Linked DNA regions of Drosophila melanogaster. Changing the gene in region 1 together with any one later gene gives a genetic interaction. Each region holds a gene or a part of one and is shown on either strand. Other genes may lie near its edges.

Evidence for each region.
Region 2: of smash (region 1) and Ote, changing one enhances a phenotype caused by changing the other (phenotypic enhancement), as found in Drosophila melanogaster (one study listed by BioGRID).
Region 3: of smash (region 1) and bocks, changing one enhances a phenotype caused by changing the other (phenotypic enhancement), as found in Drosophila melanogaster (one study listed by BioGRID).

Annotation. Positions count from the first base shown.
Region 1 is NT_033777.3:4,657,759-4,663,272, reverse strand, and holds the start of smash (smallish), read right to left. Parts: upstream 3,695-5,514; 5' UTR 2,874-3,694; intron 2,747-2,873; exon of another isoform or gene 2,334-2,746; intron 1-2,333. Other genes in the region: spartin, read right to left, coding at 5,461-5,514.
Region 2 is NT_033778.4:18,274,641-18,279,467, forward strand, and holds Ote (otefin), read right to left. Parts: upstream 2,538-4,827; 5' UTR 2,440-2,537; coding exon 1,165-2,439; 3' UTR 967-1,164; downstream 1-966. Other genes in the region: pen-2 (presenilin enhancer), read left to right, coding at 2,981-3,041, 3,111-3,215, 3,290-3,429. UniProt on the Drosophila melanogaster protein: Inner nuclear membrane protein. Involved in the attachment of membrane vesicles to chromatin during nuclear assembly, and is probably required for centrosome maturation and cell cycle progression during mitosis.
Region 3 is NT_033777.3:9,588,502-9,593,257, forward strand, and holds bocks (bocksbeutel), read right to left. Parts: upstream 2,502-4,756; 5' UTR 2,429-2,501; coding exon 1,229-2,428; 3' UTR 967-1,228; downstream 1-966. Other genes in the region: P58IPK, read left to right, coding at 1-781. UniProt on the Drosophila melanogaster protein: Inner nuclear membrane protein. May have a role in maintaining the structural integrity of the nuclear lamina. During pupal development, plays essential and redundant functions with the other LEM domain proteins; MAN1 and Ote.

The DNA.
Region 1 (5,514 bases):
TGATCCAAAATTTTTAAGAGTGTATTTCAGATAATATTCAGACATAGAACAATTTTTTTCAGTGCGCCTAAAATCACCCAATGCAGACACAGGCAAGTGCAGTTTCCATTTTCCAGGCCTGCGTGCGTGAGAAAATGGAAATGGTTGAAATAACAGGTAAGTTAATAAGCTGGCTGTGCCACCAATGCGTTCAGAGCGTCTTCTCTACCTCCATTGTTTCAGATTTCCGTCGACGACGAAAGACATGAGGCGTTCGGCGTGGAACAAAACCATTCGCTTTTCTGAACAACCTGTCCGAGAGTCCAGGGGTTCTACCACTCTACTCACATACACTCGCTTGAAAGAGTGGACACTATGAGTTTGTACAATAATTGCACAAGTATCACTCACACTGCCCGGTGAAACAGGTAGGCGACGAGCCCAAACTGGGCCCATATGGGTGGCCACGGCGAAGTTGCCGGCAGCAGATGGCAGTGACAAGTGCTTTTGGTTATTGTTATGAAAGAGCCGGACTCGGGCCGAATTGGTTACGAAATCGGATACCAGATAGCACCTCCCAAAAGGGAAGAGTTGAGCATGTGTATGTCAAGCACAAGATGGCTTAAAACAAGTCAGTCTGATTTGGATAAGGTACTCTAGTATCATGTAATTACATGACAATCGCTTTATTTCTAAGATTCTCATTATATTTCTAGCTTTTGAAACTAATGTATGAAAATTTTAACTTACGAAATGCGAGTATGTTTAGAACAAAATGGAACAAATTTGTAATTTCGCCACTGATCTGGATTTCATTTACCCGATTACAGAGCGGTCCGAAAGAGAGACCAACTTAGTTAGCAAATGAAAATGAAATGTTTCCCTCTATGTAATTCTGATTACAAAACAAAATGAGCCACGAAAAAAAAAAAGCAAAACCGGGCTTCGAATGTGCCCCAACCGGCAGACAAAACAACCGAAGACAAATGGCCATAAAATGAAAATTGCAACTTTGGAAATTATTCGGCAAACAAGTTATGAGCAGCCGCGGCATTTGGGCAGTTGCGGCGGCGCCAATTTCCACGGCACCCTTTTCCTCCGGTTTCCTAGCTGGAGCCGCAGCTACTCCTATTTGTACCATTAAGACCGCTTCCGTCTTTGAGGCAAACTGAACTCACATAAATTGACGCACGAGGCGCGCAAAAACAATGAGATGGGAAAAGCATAAACAAAACAGCAGCGGCGGAAAAGCTCTTCGAAAAACAGATGATGAGGAAAATACCCACCGTGCAAAGAAGTGAAAAGTACACTTGAAACAAAAATATAATCCGATATTTGTTTGGACTAATAAAAATTAAACTACCAAATTTATAAAACCGATGTGTAAACAATATGATTTCTTGATCATACTATTTTCTGTCGCATTCAATCGCACTATAGAGAAAAATATAAAAAAAGCATGAGAGCCGCCACCCACCTGCACCATTATGAATTGATTTTCATGTGAGGGCACAGAAAAAATAATATTCGCTTGGGAAAGTGCCCCGGAAAAGTGTGTAACGTGTAACGACCGGCACCGCTCTCTCCCACACTCGCCCTGCCAATTGCTGCAAAAAATTGCCAACCACTGTCACCCGGAGGAATTTATTGCTCCTTTTGTGGGTAGTGCACGCTATCCTTCGAAAACCAAAAAAAAAAAATTTTTAAGTTTTGAAAATATATTTGTTTGACGATTTTCCAGGCACCAGAACTTGGGAGACACAAGTACTTACATACATACATACATAGAGATGTTTTTTTTTTAGATTTTGAAACTCAAGTTCGGAAGACGATGAACTCCATATCGCCGGGGAGTGTGTAACCCACTCCAGCCCTTTCAAATACCTTTCTCCTGTCCCATCACCTTCATCATCCAATCCACCCGATCCAATCTAGTCCAACGCCCTTGCCGCCGGGTTTGCTCCGAAAGTCGACTTGGTCCGCTCGTAACGCAAATGAAGCATGAAGCCTGAAATATTAGCCAAGTGCGCGGCTGGCGAAAAATGCGTCGCCCTGTCGCACAACTAGGCAACCCTGACAGCTGCATTCCGCAAATGCAATTAAACCAACTTTCCAATGATGGATTTTTTCTTTCGATTATAATTCAGCCGTTTTTCCCCGTCTTTTTGCCATTACCTTATTAGCTAAAAACCTGTAGCCTGTAGCTCGGGCAATGACGATAATGATGATATCAAATAAATGACTAGGCGCCCGAGTGCTGCAAGTTTGAGCGGTGAGAAAATTGGCATGCAAAGTGAAAATGTTTTGGGGAAAAAACCTATCAAAGCCAACACAGAAACGCATGTCGAGGGTGTCGAAATTTTTTTGAGACACATTTGTCGAACATCAAATTCGAAAGCCAGCAGATCGGTGGATGGATCGCAAGAATGTACAACTCAAGCTCACAAGCCTCACTCCAGAACACGAGCCTCCATCTACAAGTTCCGCCTGACCAACATGATCCAGGTCCCAGAATGCTGCTTGAGGTCATATCCCTAGTCCTGGTCATCACAACGTTATTTTGCTGCTACTGTTGCGTCAGATGAATGGATCTAAGCGATCCGCTCAATGAAGAAAAATCTCCGAGAGAAATGTGTTTTACCCAATCCTACTTTTTGATATCCGTTAGGAAAGATAGGAAAGATATTAGTCTTCATTTTTCGAATGGACCTTTTTTTATGTAAACTTCAAGCCAATAGTTACAAATTGCATAAATAAGCACGTTACTAAGACAATTGGCTACCTTTTTACACTTTTCTTTTCTACACTTTTTACGGTTTCAAAATGCAGATTTTGAAATCACTTATTCACTTATTATTTACTTTATTCATTGTGCAGAAGCTGAAAACACTTACCAACAAAATTCGAAGCTCTGTTCGTTGCTGGCACAGATGCTGTTTTTTACACAGTTGTTTTTCGGCGTTCAATTACATATATAAAAACAATTCAAAAGAATGGCGAGTCAATTGGAACAGCCACTGCAGAGTCCTAAAGTTGTTGTTGTTGTTGTTTGGAGCTGCTTTTCGGGAACAGGCCAAAAATCATTAGAAATTTCTATACTCGAGCGAGCAACACGTACACACGCACACATACGCACTCGCACACAGAGGCGCACCCACACACACTAATAAACGCGGGCCAGAAAATAAAACGGGAAACGTGTTTGCTTGTGTACTGTTGTTAGAACTGTTGTTGTTGCTGCGTTCGCAGTTGGCTGTTTACGGCAGTCGTTGTTGTTTATACAGGTTGTACATATGTATTTGTGAGCGAGAAAAACAGTTTTCCGCCGCGCCGTAATTGCAACTACTCAGCTTGGTGGATTGGACTCCCGTCAAAATCGGAAATAAAAGGCACTACCCACCCACATACACACACAAACACACTTCTGCCAACTCTCCTCCCTCAACCGCACAAGCGCCGCAGTTGCACCTCGACTGAATTCACGATTTTACACTGCACAGGTGCAGTGCTGCGCAAAACAAAACGCAAGACTCTCGGATCCGAACTCCGTGGCTTTGGGCTTTTCCTGCCTTATTTCCCGTGCGCACATATGTACACATTCACATGTATTCATGTACCAAGGGGCGAAATCACGTCCGAGCGGGGAATTATGTGCTTGCGTGCCGCGCTAAACTCTTAGCCACCTCCTTTTGGCCGAGTTCAAAACGTACTGCCGAGCGTAGGAATTTGTGGATATAAAAATGGGGCGGAGTGTGGCCAGCTGAATCAGTTGAGGTGGGTCGAATCGGACTACGAGCGGTATTTTTATCTGTCCGCAGGCAAGGTCTCTCTGTACGCTCTTACGTTTTTTGTTACGTTGTTCGGCGAAAAGCCTTCAAAATAATTAACAACTTTCTCGGTTTTTGAATTAGTACGTAAAGTATTGCATACAAAAATCAACGAGACGCTGATGGATCAATCTATGAAGCTTTGGGATCAAATAATATATAATATTATATAATGATATATGGCGGAGTTTAAAACCAAACCAATTTCAAGATAATTTTTTATTGCGCGTCCCGAAAGTATGCTACACCCATTCCTTTTTTTTAAATTTATTTATTTAGAAGCGATGAATCCATACAATGCAGCAATAGCAACATAACAGCGCAATTAACATATAAATGATAAAACCAAACCTCTCACTAATCATGTGAGGATTTAAACACCCATTCCTATTTTCAGAATGGAACTCGCACGAGAGCTAACGTTTGAAAACAAATGTATTCATTTACTTTACTTTTTTTATATATCGACTGGTAATTCTTAAGAATAAATCTCCACCCTGTGATGCTAAGATACAATATAATTATGTACGGATTCTTTTTAATAAATATATATAAAAAAATGTATTCATATGATTTTGACAATAATATGAGTATACATATTCCTATATTCTCCTAATATAAATATTAATAGGATAAAAGGACTATAATAAGGTAAATGTAAATATAGTCTAGGAGAAAGTTTTACCAACAATAGGGGTTATAGTCATTCATGTTATGTTATGTTCTGATTCGGGAGCTGAACCCTAACTAAATATATGGGCTCCTTGATATATGACACTTAGGACCTATAGAATATCACATTCTATATCTCGTGTATAAAACAAAACGTGAAGTTTTACCATATTTCGCCAAAGTATATATGTGGGGTTCATCGCTCGTTATATAAATTCCTAACTTGTTTATATAAAATTTGACTCGTTCCGCAAAGTTTTTGCTTGATCAGAGTGCTTTTTAAGATAGGAAAAAAGAATAAGGAATAAGATAGCTATATAGAGTCTTAGGAAATGGTTAGGAAATAATGCAAATAACATAACCTTTTCAACAATATAAGATTCAAAAGTCTGTAACTTCAGGCGATCGGAAGCTATGACAGTACTTACGAGGATTTAAAGCCGCTAAATTAGACGGCTTTTTATTGATCGTCAATCTAAAGATACTTAGATCAACATTTGTTCACAATTTACATGGTACGTTCATACTAAATTCCTTGCTAAAATTGTTAATTCTTTTAAATTAGTGAAAGAGGACTGAGTTGTGTATCAAAAATCAGGACATTTTAATTTAAAAACAAAAGATACCCGATACTTAGCGGTTGGAGTGCTAGGAAGCTAGAATTTAGGTTATACAAATATACAAAGTGAATTAAACATTTTTCTTTTTAATACTTTCTAGCTTCGGTTTATCTACAAATACAAAAGTAAAGCATTTTTGAACACTAAAATAAGGTTTTGATGCAAAATCTTTCGAAATATCTTTTTTATGTGTTATTGAACATAATATTTATTTATATTTTTTCTTTTAATTAGAAGCTATAAATGGCATATAAATATTTCAATATAATAATAATAATAATAATAATAATAATAATAATAATAATAATAATAATAATAATAATAATAATAATAACATGTGATAAATTCCTTTGGTTTTCCCGCTATTCCTTCAAAGCTCGAAGATCCGGATAAAGAGATCCGGCATTAATATAATG
Region 2 (4,827 bases), on another chromosome or scaffold:
TGCTGCTGCTGCAGCTGGTGGACCTGATGTTGCTCTGGGTGCTACGACTCTATTAACGTGTCGAGTGCGTGAAACTTTTTGCAGGCTTCCATTTAATTTCCATGGCCGATGGCTTGTTGCATTTGCCTAAGCAGCCATTGTTGCCTTTTCGAATTGCTGCGACTGTTGCTGCGACTGTTGCAGTTGCTTTGTTGCACTTCGGGACAGTCGTCAAAGTGATCGTGGTTGTCGTCTGCATCGTTGCTGCCATGTAGGTAATTCCTGGAAGTTAATTTCATTAAGAGCAACTAGCAATGCGCGGCGTATTTATTAGCCACACGATATATTGTATGGGCCATGGCTTTGTTTTTCAAGGAATCTGCCGCCTGGCTGTTCCATGCATTTGTGGAATTCATCATCGGCGGCGACTGGCGGTCGTGGCGGCCGTGGCAGCCGTGGCAGCAACATCCCCAGCACAACTGGCATTTCCCCCGAGCCACTGATGTTGCAATTTTCATAACTTATTGCTGGCATGCAAGTCAGACCCGGATCCGGTCGCGCTTGTTACCGCTAAATATGGCGCGAAATTTCCTTAAGAAAATAAAGAAATACGCGCAAGTGCGATTTCCAGTTAATAAAATTAAACAGCCCAACTCGGGCAAGGATTTTAAAATAACGCACACCGGCCGCCGAGCCGACTTGTAAAATTCTTATTAATTCTGATTGCAAGGCATTGCAAGGATCGCAGATCAGATCGCAGCAGGAACAATTTAGCTCAGATAAGAGCTGCGCTTGCCTGGTTGCCATTGCGCCTACATTTGGTCAGAGTCATGCCGACAAGTGTTGTACACGCATTCCAGATACTTTTCCATCATTAGCCGATCGTCGTTTGCTGCTGTTTCTTGATCCAATCTGGGCAAACACCTGCCACAAGTGGAGCGCAGTGAATCGAAAGCCGTTTGGAGAAAAAACATCAGAGCAAGTGTTCAACTGTGGAGATTCCCTGCAAGTGGGCTTTATTTGAACACGGATAACACGCAGCTTAAATGCTAGTCAAACTCAAGCTCAAGTTACATCAAAACAAGATTCATACAAAGACCGCGGCGGCAGTCTTGTTTACAAAACATATCCAACATGGTATACAAACTAGATTACAAATTCGAAATAAGAACAATGATGCGCCGGTCAGTAGAATATGTAATAAACGCCGATTAACAAAAGGACGAGGAGTACAATGAACAGCTTCGACTTGATGTGATACTTCTGCTCCAGGCTGTTCAACCAACGGTTAAAGGCCTCGGATACGCTGTTATCATTCGGGCGCAAGGAGCGCCTGGCACGCGGCTCATAGCCGAGAGAACCGCTACCCGCGTTTCCACTGGCCAGAGTGCGTCTGGAATACGGGCTGATGCGATCTCCAATCCGTTCGGCTCGCAAACGAGCTAGATTCCTGGCAAATGTGCTTTCGTACTGGTCTTCCTTGGAATCAGTGTCGTCGCTCAGCTCGTTAGCATAGGTACGCTTGTAGCTGGATGAGTAGGAGGCCACCGGCGGAGCCTCTGCAGTCACATAGCCTTGGGCTGCAGTACGCACAAAACTGCTATAGCGACCGGGTGCTGGGTTGCTCGCATAGTCATAGGACCTGGTGGAACTGGTGGTCTGCGCTCTGGCAGATGGCACAGATGGCGGCAGCACGGGAGCTGCTGTCGCTTCATAGACCTGTCGGCGTGGAGGCTCCACAACCTTGCTTTTGTACTCGTACGTAGTGGTGCCGCTGCTTGCGAGCTTCGTGGTCTTCTGTCTGGCCGCGTGCTCCTGCTCCACCAGATCTGCAGCCTGGACTAGCTGCTCGTCCTCTTCTTCATCGGACTCTAGGACAATCAGGGAGTTGACCTTAAGATAATTCTCCTCTCGATCAGCGCGCTTCGAGGAAGCCGGTTGCTCAACAATGGTTTCTGGCTTCCTCAAGGGCTCCACTACTTTCCTTTCAGACCCCGAGGAGGTGGAAGTGCGCCGGGTCTGTACGGGTTGAGCAGCAGGAGCAGTTGTTGGCTTCCTGGCGGCAACGGGCTCCTCGGATCGTAGGCGGTCGGCTTCGTCGGGGCGTCGGCGTATAGCTTCCTCGGGTAATCGACGCACTGGTTCCTTGGCCTCTGCAGCGGTAATTGTGCGCCGAGCCTTTGTGGCGGGCGCCACCTTGTTGCCATCCAGCTTGTCCACCGGCGTGGAGGCTGCCGCCGGAGCAGATGGTGCACCAGGTGCGGGAGCCAGGGTCTCCCGCCTGTTGGTCTTCTTGGGACTAGCGGCCGGCGACGCCTGGCCACCAATGGAGGCGCGCAGACGCTTTACTAGAACCTTCCGGCTGCTATCCGTCACGGGGATGTTGGGCAGCCCCTGTGCCAGCATCTTGGCGCGCAACTCAGCATTGGACAGAGAATCAAAATCGTCCACATCGGCCATTGTATGGTTTTTCGCACACTTTTAATAATTCGTTGAAAATTGAAATCGGCGTCGCTTTTACGCGGTGTGTGCTAAAATAGTGATGGCAGCAGTATTACCTATCGATGATTCTGTTTTAGGGGATATACAACACTGAAGTGGGCTTGACTTGTAACAGTTTTGGCGTTTTAAAAAAAGGGAACACAAGGAATGATGTTTCATACTAATCATCGCACACATCGCAAAATCGTGCAAACGTAATAAAACATCTATGCTATATTATTATATCGTTATTTACGTTAGATATTGGCAAATGAAACAGTGATCCAAGAGTCGCAGTTTAGCTCACCTCTGTTTCGATAACTTATCGATATCGATTGCGCTCCAATGGACTAAAAACTAAAACACAAATCAACAAAAGCAAAAATTGAAGTGAAAATATAAGCTATTACAATTTACATATTACATACAATTTACATATAAGTACGAAAAAACTTTCCTGGGCCGGAAACAGATTCGAAAACAAAGGAGCAAACACCCACATATTTGAAGAGGATTAATCATGGACATCTCAAAGGCACCAAATCCGCGAAAACTGGAGCTGTGTCGCAAATACTTCTTTGGTAAGAGTTACTACCAATGAGTAATGATTGGATTTTAACCAAGTTACTTTCTATTTGTCTCGAACTTAGCTGGCTTTGCATTTCTGCCCTTTGTGTGGGCCATTAACGTTTGCTGGTTTTTCACGGAGGCCTTCCATAAGCCACCATTTTCGGAGCAGAGCCAAATAAAGAGATGTAAGTCAATATATGAATAGATGCCCATGCCATACAGTCTAATATTCCACAATTTCTTTCCTACCTTCCTCCAGATGTTATATACTCTGCAGTGGGGACTCTATTCTGGCTGATAGTACTAACTGCCTGGATAATAATATTCCAGACAAATCGCACAGCCTGGGGCGCCACAGCGGACTATATGAGCTTCATCATACCCCTAGGCAGTGCATAGACATAACTAGATTAATTCGTTAGCAACTAATGATATTAAAAAAGACTTCATTCCTAAACAAAATTAACGTTTATTATTAATCCATCAGAAGTTCCCGTATATGACCCAAACAAAAGAAGTGCTGTTTTGATTTAATTACATATTTTTTATTCACATCTAAAGCTGTTTTTGTTTTTTATAATTTTCTGTATACTTTAAATATGTGTACTATATTTTGTTGAAATTTCTTAGCCGCTAGTTATGTGTTTTGTTCATATTCGTCCGCCCATATTTGAATGCTTGATTTAGCTTTAGTTAGCCATTTTGTGGATTACATTCTTTGCTTAGATACAATTTCATTGTTTCGAATTCAATTCAATGCGCTTTATCCATCTCTAAAATACATAATTTGTATAAAACTCTGCTTGTACCGTTGCATAAGCCATTATGGTAATTTGTTAAATCCCATTTAATTGTTTTGTTATGTTGTGTGTTTGTATCCGTGAGTCGAATGCCTCCTACGATTTGATTACAAATTGCATTAAGAATGTCAAAAAACCTAGCGACTCCTAAATGAGTGTAAGGAAAACACTCGCCGATCTACACATGAAGACATAATTCAAATTGCTATTATTCGGTAAATCGCTTGCATTTCGTTTGCGGTTAACAGCAAATGCTGCCAACACATATAGTAAATTACAATATTATGTATTAATGTTTATAACACGAACTTGGTGGCAAAGCACCTAAGCAGGGCCACCAAATCAATCAGTGGAACTAATTTACAATACAAAAGACTCGCTTTAAGGTATATTTACAATCAATACTTGTTTTATTTATAAATTCTAAAGAATCAATGTGTATTTGGGATAGGAAGCGGGATTTTTGAGGGCCAGATGGGAGCTTTCTCATTCAGTTTTTCTTTTTTTTTGGGCTTAGGCTACAGAACATTAAGTGCCATAAATCACGCGTGTAGAGTCTATGAAGCGGCTAGTGAATTACTACACACCCACATTCACATAGATAATCCTTTAATTACATATATATCTCGCCATCGTTATCATATCATATATGCAGCATATGCGTATAAATATTTAAAGTACAAATTGATGCTTAGAAACAATTAAAATTAATGTGCGGCTGCTGGCCGAAAAATTCATCGTAGTCATTCACGGAGAACTTATAAAGTAGAAACTACGGATACGAGTAGTACACACACAGATATAGATTTAGATACACATAATATATATTTATATTTATAAGAATTGAATGGGCGGCGCGCCCAATTTGTCTTTTAGATGCAAATCCCGCGCAGCTCCATCCGCAACACAGATAAGGATAATTAATACACACGCTAAATGCTAATCTTGTACGTTCTACTTGCATAATTTAATCATTTAGTTAAACAATATTCATACA
Region 3 (4,756 bases), 4.9 Mb from region 1:
CCACGCCACAAATGCCTTAAAAGAGATCCGCGAGTGCCTGAAGTTCGACCCGGAACACAAGCTCTGCTTCCCCTTCTACAAGAAACTACGAAAGGTGGAAAAGCAGCTGGTTAACGCAGAGCAAGCGCGTGAGGAGAAGCATTTTGCCGAGTGCATAGCCGCCGGAGAGGCAGTCCTGCGTAACGAGCCGGAGGAGACGATGATCCGGTATGAGGGACACAAGGTGCTCTGCACTTGCTACACGGGCGACGAGCAGTTTGGCAAGGCTTTGCAACAGTGCAAGGAGGCACTGGATATTATGAAGGATGCTCAGGTCTACTGTGATCGTGCTGACGCATTGCTGGGCACCGAAATGTACGACGATGCCATACACTCCTTCCAAGCAGCTCTCGACCTGGAAGAGAGCAACACCCGCGCTAAAGAAGGCATCCAGAGGGCAAAGAAGCTGCAGAAGCAGTCAGAGCGCAGGGATTACTATAAGATATTAGGCGTTAAGCGTAGCGCCAGCAAACAGGAGATTGTGAAGGCCTACAGGAAGGCGGCGCAAAAGTGGCATCCGGACAACTTCCGCGACGAGGAAAAGAAGGTGGCCGAGAAAAAGTTTATTGACATTGCCGCAGCCAAGGAGGTTCTCACGGATCCCGAGAAGCGTCGTCAATTCGACAACGGCGAGGATCCATTAGATCCTGAGAGCAATCAGCGTGGCGGCTTCCATGGCGAACATCCGTTTGGACACTTCCAACACGGGTCGCCGTTCCAGTTCAAGTTCCACTTCAATTAGTCAGCCAGCAGCCATTTGCTTTGTGATGTCCTAGCCGCGATCCCCGATATCCTTTAACGATTTTACACTGTTTTGTTCATTTAAATGGCGTGTAAATAGTAGCATAAAGCATAAATAAACCCATGGTCCGTTGTCAGAGAGTACCACAAACAAACACAAATCGCAACAAAACACACTGAGCACTTACATTTAATTAGTTTATTTAATACAATACAATAATTATAATGTAGTACATTTTTCTAATTATGTATAAAAAGAAACAATATGCGAGAACAAGCAATTAAAGACTTGGCAAATTGAGTTGAATATTTGTTAGTTTTGAACATGTTTGGAATTGAAGTAGTAGTCTTAAGGTGCAAAGTCGTCATAAATATTCCTTCGCTGTAGTCTGTGGTTGAAATGCGTGGAGTAACCAAAACCAAATGTATTCCGCGATATGAACGCTTCTCAGGCGTTGGGTGTCAATACCACGTACACCATGGTGGCCAGCATCACTGACACTACCAATATTAAGTAGAATTTGAGATTATATTTTTGATCCAATGACACCGCCAGTGCACGGAACTGCGCCATAGGCGAAACCTGATCGTGGTGTCTTACCAGAGGTTTTCTAGCCAGCGGCGAGAAGCGATTCTTTTGGAAATGGCTATTGATGGGTACTTCCTCGACTTCGGACTCGCTCTCCGTCTCCATGGGTTCGCCTGCGTCATTCGGCTGATCGTAGAATTCATTTAGTTGTGGATATAGAGTGTTTACTGCGGTGGTCGGCTGGAGCAGGCGACCACGGGCCAGATTGGATCCACTAACTGGAACACTCTGTCGCTGGCGAATGGGTGCTGGAGCTGGTGCTGGGCCACCAAAAGGCCTAGCGGATCCGCTGAAAGTGTTTCTTGGCGAAATGGGTGAAAGTTTTGGATTGTACGTAGATGACTCCTCGTAGCTGGTTGAGTTTAAGTTGGTTTGAGTCAGCAGGGGACGCGAAAAACCCAAATCTGTGGGTCTGTATGTCGAAGGTTCGATGCGTGGCTCGTATGTGGGAAGTGCGTGAAGAGTGGCGGCTGGCACATGGGGTCTTTCGTAGGTGTAGCTGCGTGGTATATCCTCCTGTTCGTACAGCGGCTGGTCAACTTCGCGTGTGTAAGATGTGGTCAAAACTCCGGATTTGGCTAGAGAAACATAACGTCTAGGCTGCTGGTCCTTGGAGTAATTAGGCACCGGAGAGTCCACCATGTAGGAGTCGTCGTCCTCCGACTGGGAGCTCATATCCGACACCGTGGTAGTAGTCTGCACAGATCTTCCCGAGATCGAGGTGTTGTCTAGTCCATAGGCGATTGTGCGACGACTTTGTTCGCTGATCTTGTTGTTGTTGCTGCTAGTGCGTCCTGCACTCTTGCCGGGCGTACGACGCACTGGCTCCGATGTGGGCGTCGTTACCTGGCTGCCGTGTACGGTCTCACGCCTCGGAATCGCTTTCTTACTTGCAGATTTGCTTTTGTTCAGCGGAACCCCGGTGATTTTGGCCTTTAGTCGGCGAATTATGACGCTGCGGGTGCTGTCCGTCACGGGAACACCGGGCAGGCCGTGCTCCAGGCACTTGGCCAGCAGCTCCTTGTTGCCCAACGTGTCCAGGTAAGAAAGGTCCGACATTATTTTCCGCCGTGGTGAAACTCAAAACACACAAAAATAGCAATGTCGTCACAATGTTGTCTATTAGTGATGGAACGGCAGCGATAGAATGTTCAATCTAAGTGCACGCCTATCGATTGCTGCTAAAGTAATGTTGTTTGACAAACTATAGCTAGATTTCATATGCTGGATGAGCTGTGCACGAAAGTAAAAACAATTTTTTAACATCAGACAGAAGAACAAACTACTTGAAGAAAAACTTAACTCGATATTTTATGTGCAATCGCCTCATGTGCAGTGTTATAAAATGCCTACAACTAAACATTTACAGCAGTGCTGCCAGACCTGGTTGGATACGCTTGCTATGGTTTATTTCAACTAACGCCCGACGGTCACACAGTTAGTTTTATGAAAATCGAACGCGCAACAGGTGTTCAATCGCAAACAAGACGCTCGAATTAAACGAATCGCCGCGCGGAAAGCGCTCGCCAAGCCAAAGAAAATCCCCAAGTCGCAGTGCGGAAAACTGAGGAGATATAGCATCGTAACATAAACAGTGGATTGTGGAAAAACAATCGTGAATCATTTGCACCTGTTTGGCGGCCAATATTTCTTCACCTTTTTGCTTTTCTGCGCCTGCGTGTGTGCCTCACTTCGCTTATTACACTTTTGTTTACCTCAATCGCGGGTGTTATTAAAGTTTTTGGCATCGATTTCGAGTAGCAAAGCAAGTGGCTGGAAACATTCGACAATTTGCTGGCTGCAATTGCAGCATATTTTCCATTTAGCCAAGCAAGAGCAAGGGAAACAAAAACAGCAACAACAGCAGCAGTAGAAGCAGCAGCATAAACATAAACCAAAAAACCGGTTAAAGCGGACAAGAGCGAGAAAGGCGCCCCAAAAAAGAGCAAGCGGGACAAAAACAAACACATAAAACGTGAAAAACAACAACGAATCAAAGTAGATATAAATACTAAACGAAAAAAAAAATATCCTCGTATTTGGGTTTTTGTTTTTTTGTTAAGCGCAAACAGAAAATAAGTGCGTTTGTTCTTTGTTTAAACGTGTTGACATCGTGTTTTCCCTGTAAAATTCCTTATCGGCCGATCGAATCGAAAGTGAACGAGTAATTGCCTTTCTGGTATTTGGTTTATTACATTTCGATATTGCTATTGCCCAAACTCAAACTCTGCGCGTGGCCTCCTTCTTATCGGCAGTCCAGTTCACCAGTCTACTCCACCAGAAGAACTACCTGTTGCCGCAACAATTAACACCAGGTGAGCAATAAAACCAACCCTTTTTACACTTCTGCAGCTTAGAATGCCCAATAGGACCGACCACCGGGTATTCTTTAAATATTGTTTACGTTGCACTTATAACGAATTCCAAGGAATGTACTCACAAAGAGCATTTGAACAATTGTATTCATGAAGATATATTTACTCATAATTAAGAATTCATCTAAAAAGAAGCATCGGGGGTTGCAAGGAAGAAATGGGGTTTCAAACTAAATGTTAATATCAGTGATTTAGGCACATACATATTTGGTGCTATTTTTGGAGTGGCTTGTACATGTGAATTTGCTGATTTCAAGTAGCTCCAAATGTTATTTATTGTTACCAATATAATTTGTGTTGGGCATTTCATTCTATTCAGTCGGTCATTGCCTATATTTGGTATTGCTTGATAGCCAAGTCACGTGAGAGGCCTTCCATCGATAAACCAAATCACAATTGTTAACAAAAGATTAGCCCCATGCCCATGACATTAGGCAACCCAAATTGGGGGAATTGGGGAATTCGCCACCGCAGTTCATTGACACAACCTTTGGCTGCTGTTTTCAGCTGTTTTTGCTGTTGAACCCGCTTAACTTTCACTGCAAACGCGGCTGGCCCAAAAGCGGCATAAATCAGCACGAAAACAACACACGCGACAAGAAAATGTTGTAAATGCCAAAATTGAAATGCAGTCGCAGGTTAATAAAATCAAATTTGTTGCCCGCTTTTGTTTTCTCGTTTTCATCGCTCGTTTTCCATTGCCATTTCCATTTCCATCTCCATTTCCATTTTGATTTAATTTAATTTTACTTATGTAATCCCTGGTTAATTTCCAAGCATCATTAAGCCGCGAAGAAAGAGTCTCTTTTGCGCCAGCAAACTGAAGCACACGAGCGAATGATTATGAGATAATCAGTAAATTGCACAAGACCAAATGAAGTCATGAGAGTTGAGTGGATTGTCGAGTGGGATTCAACTCGAATTGAATCGAATCGAATTGCATCGTATCGATGGAGCTCCAATTTGACACTAAATTGGAATGAGATAACAGATTCGAAAATGATTTATCTCT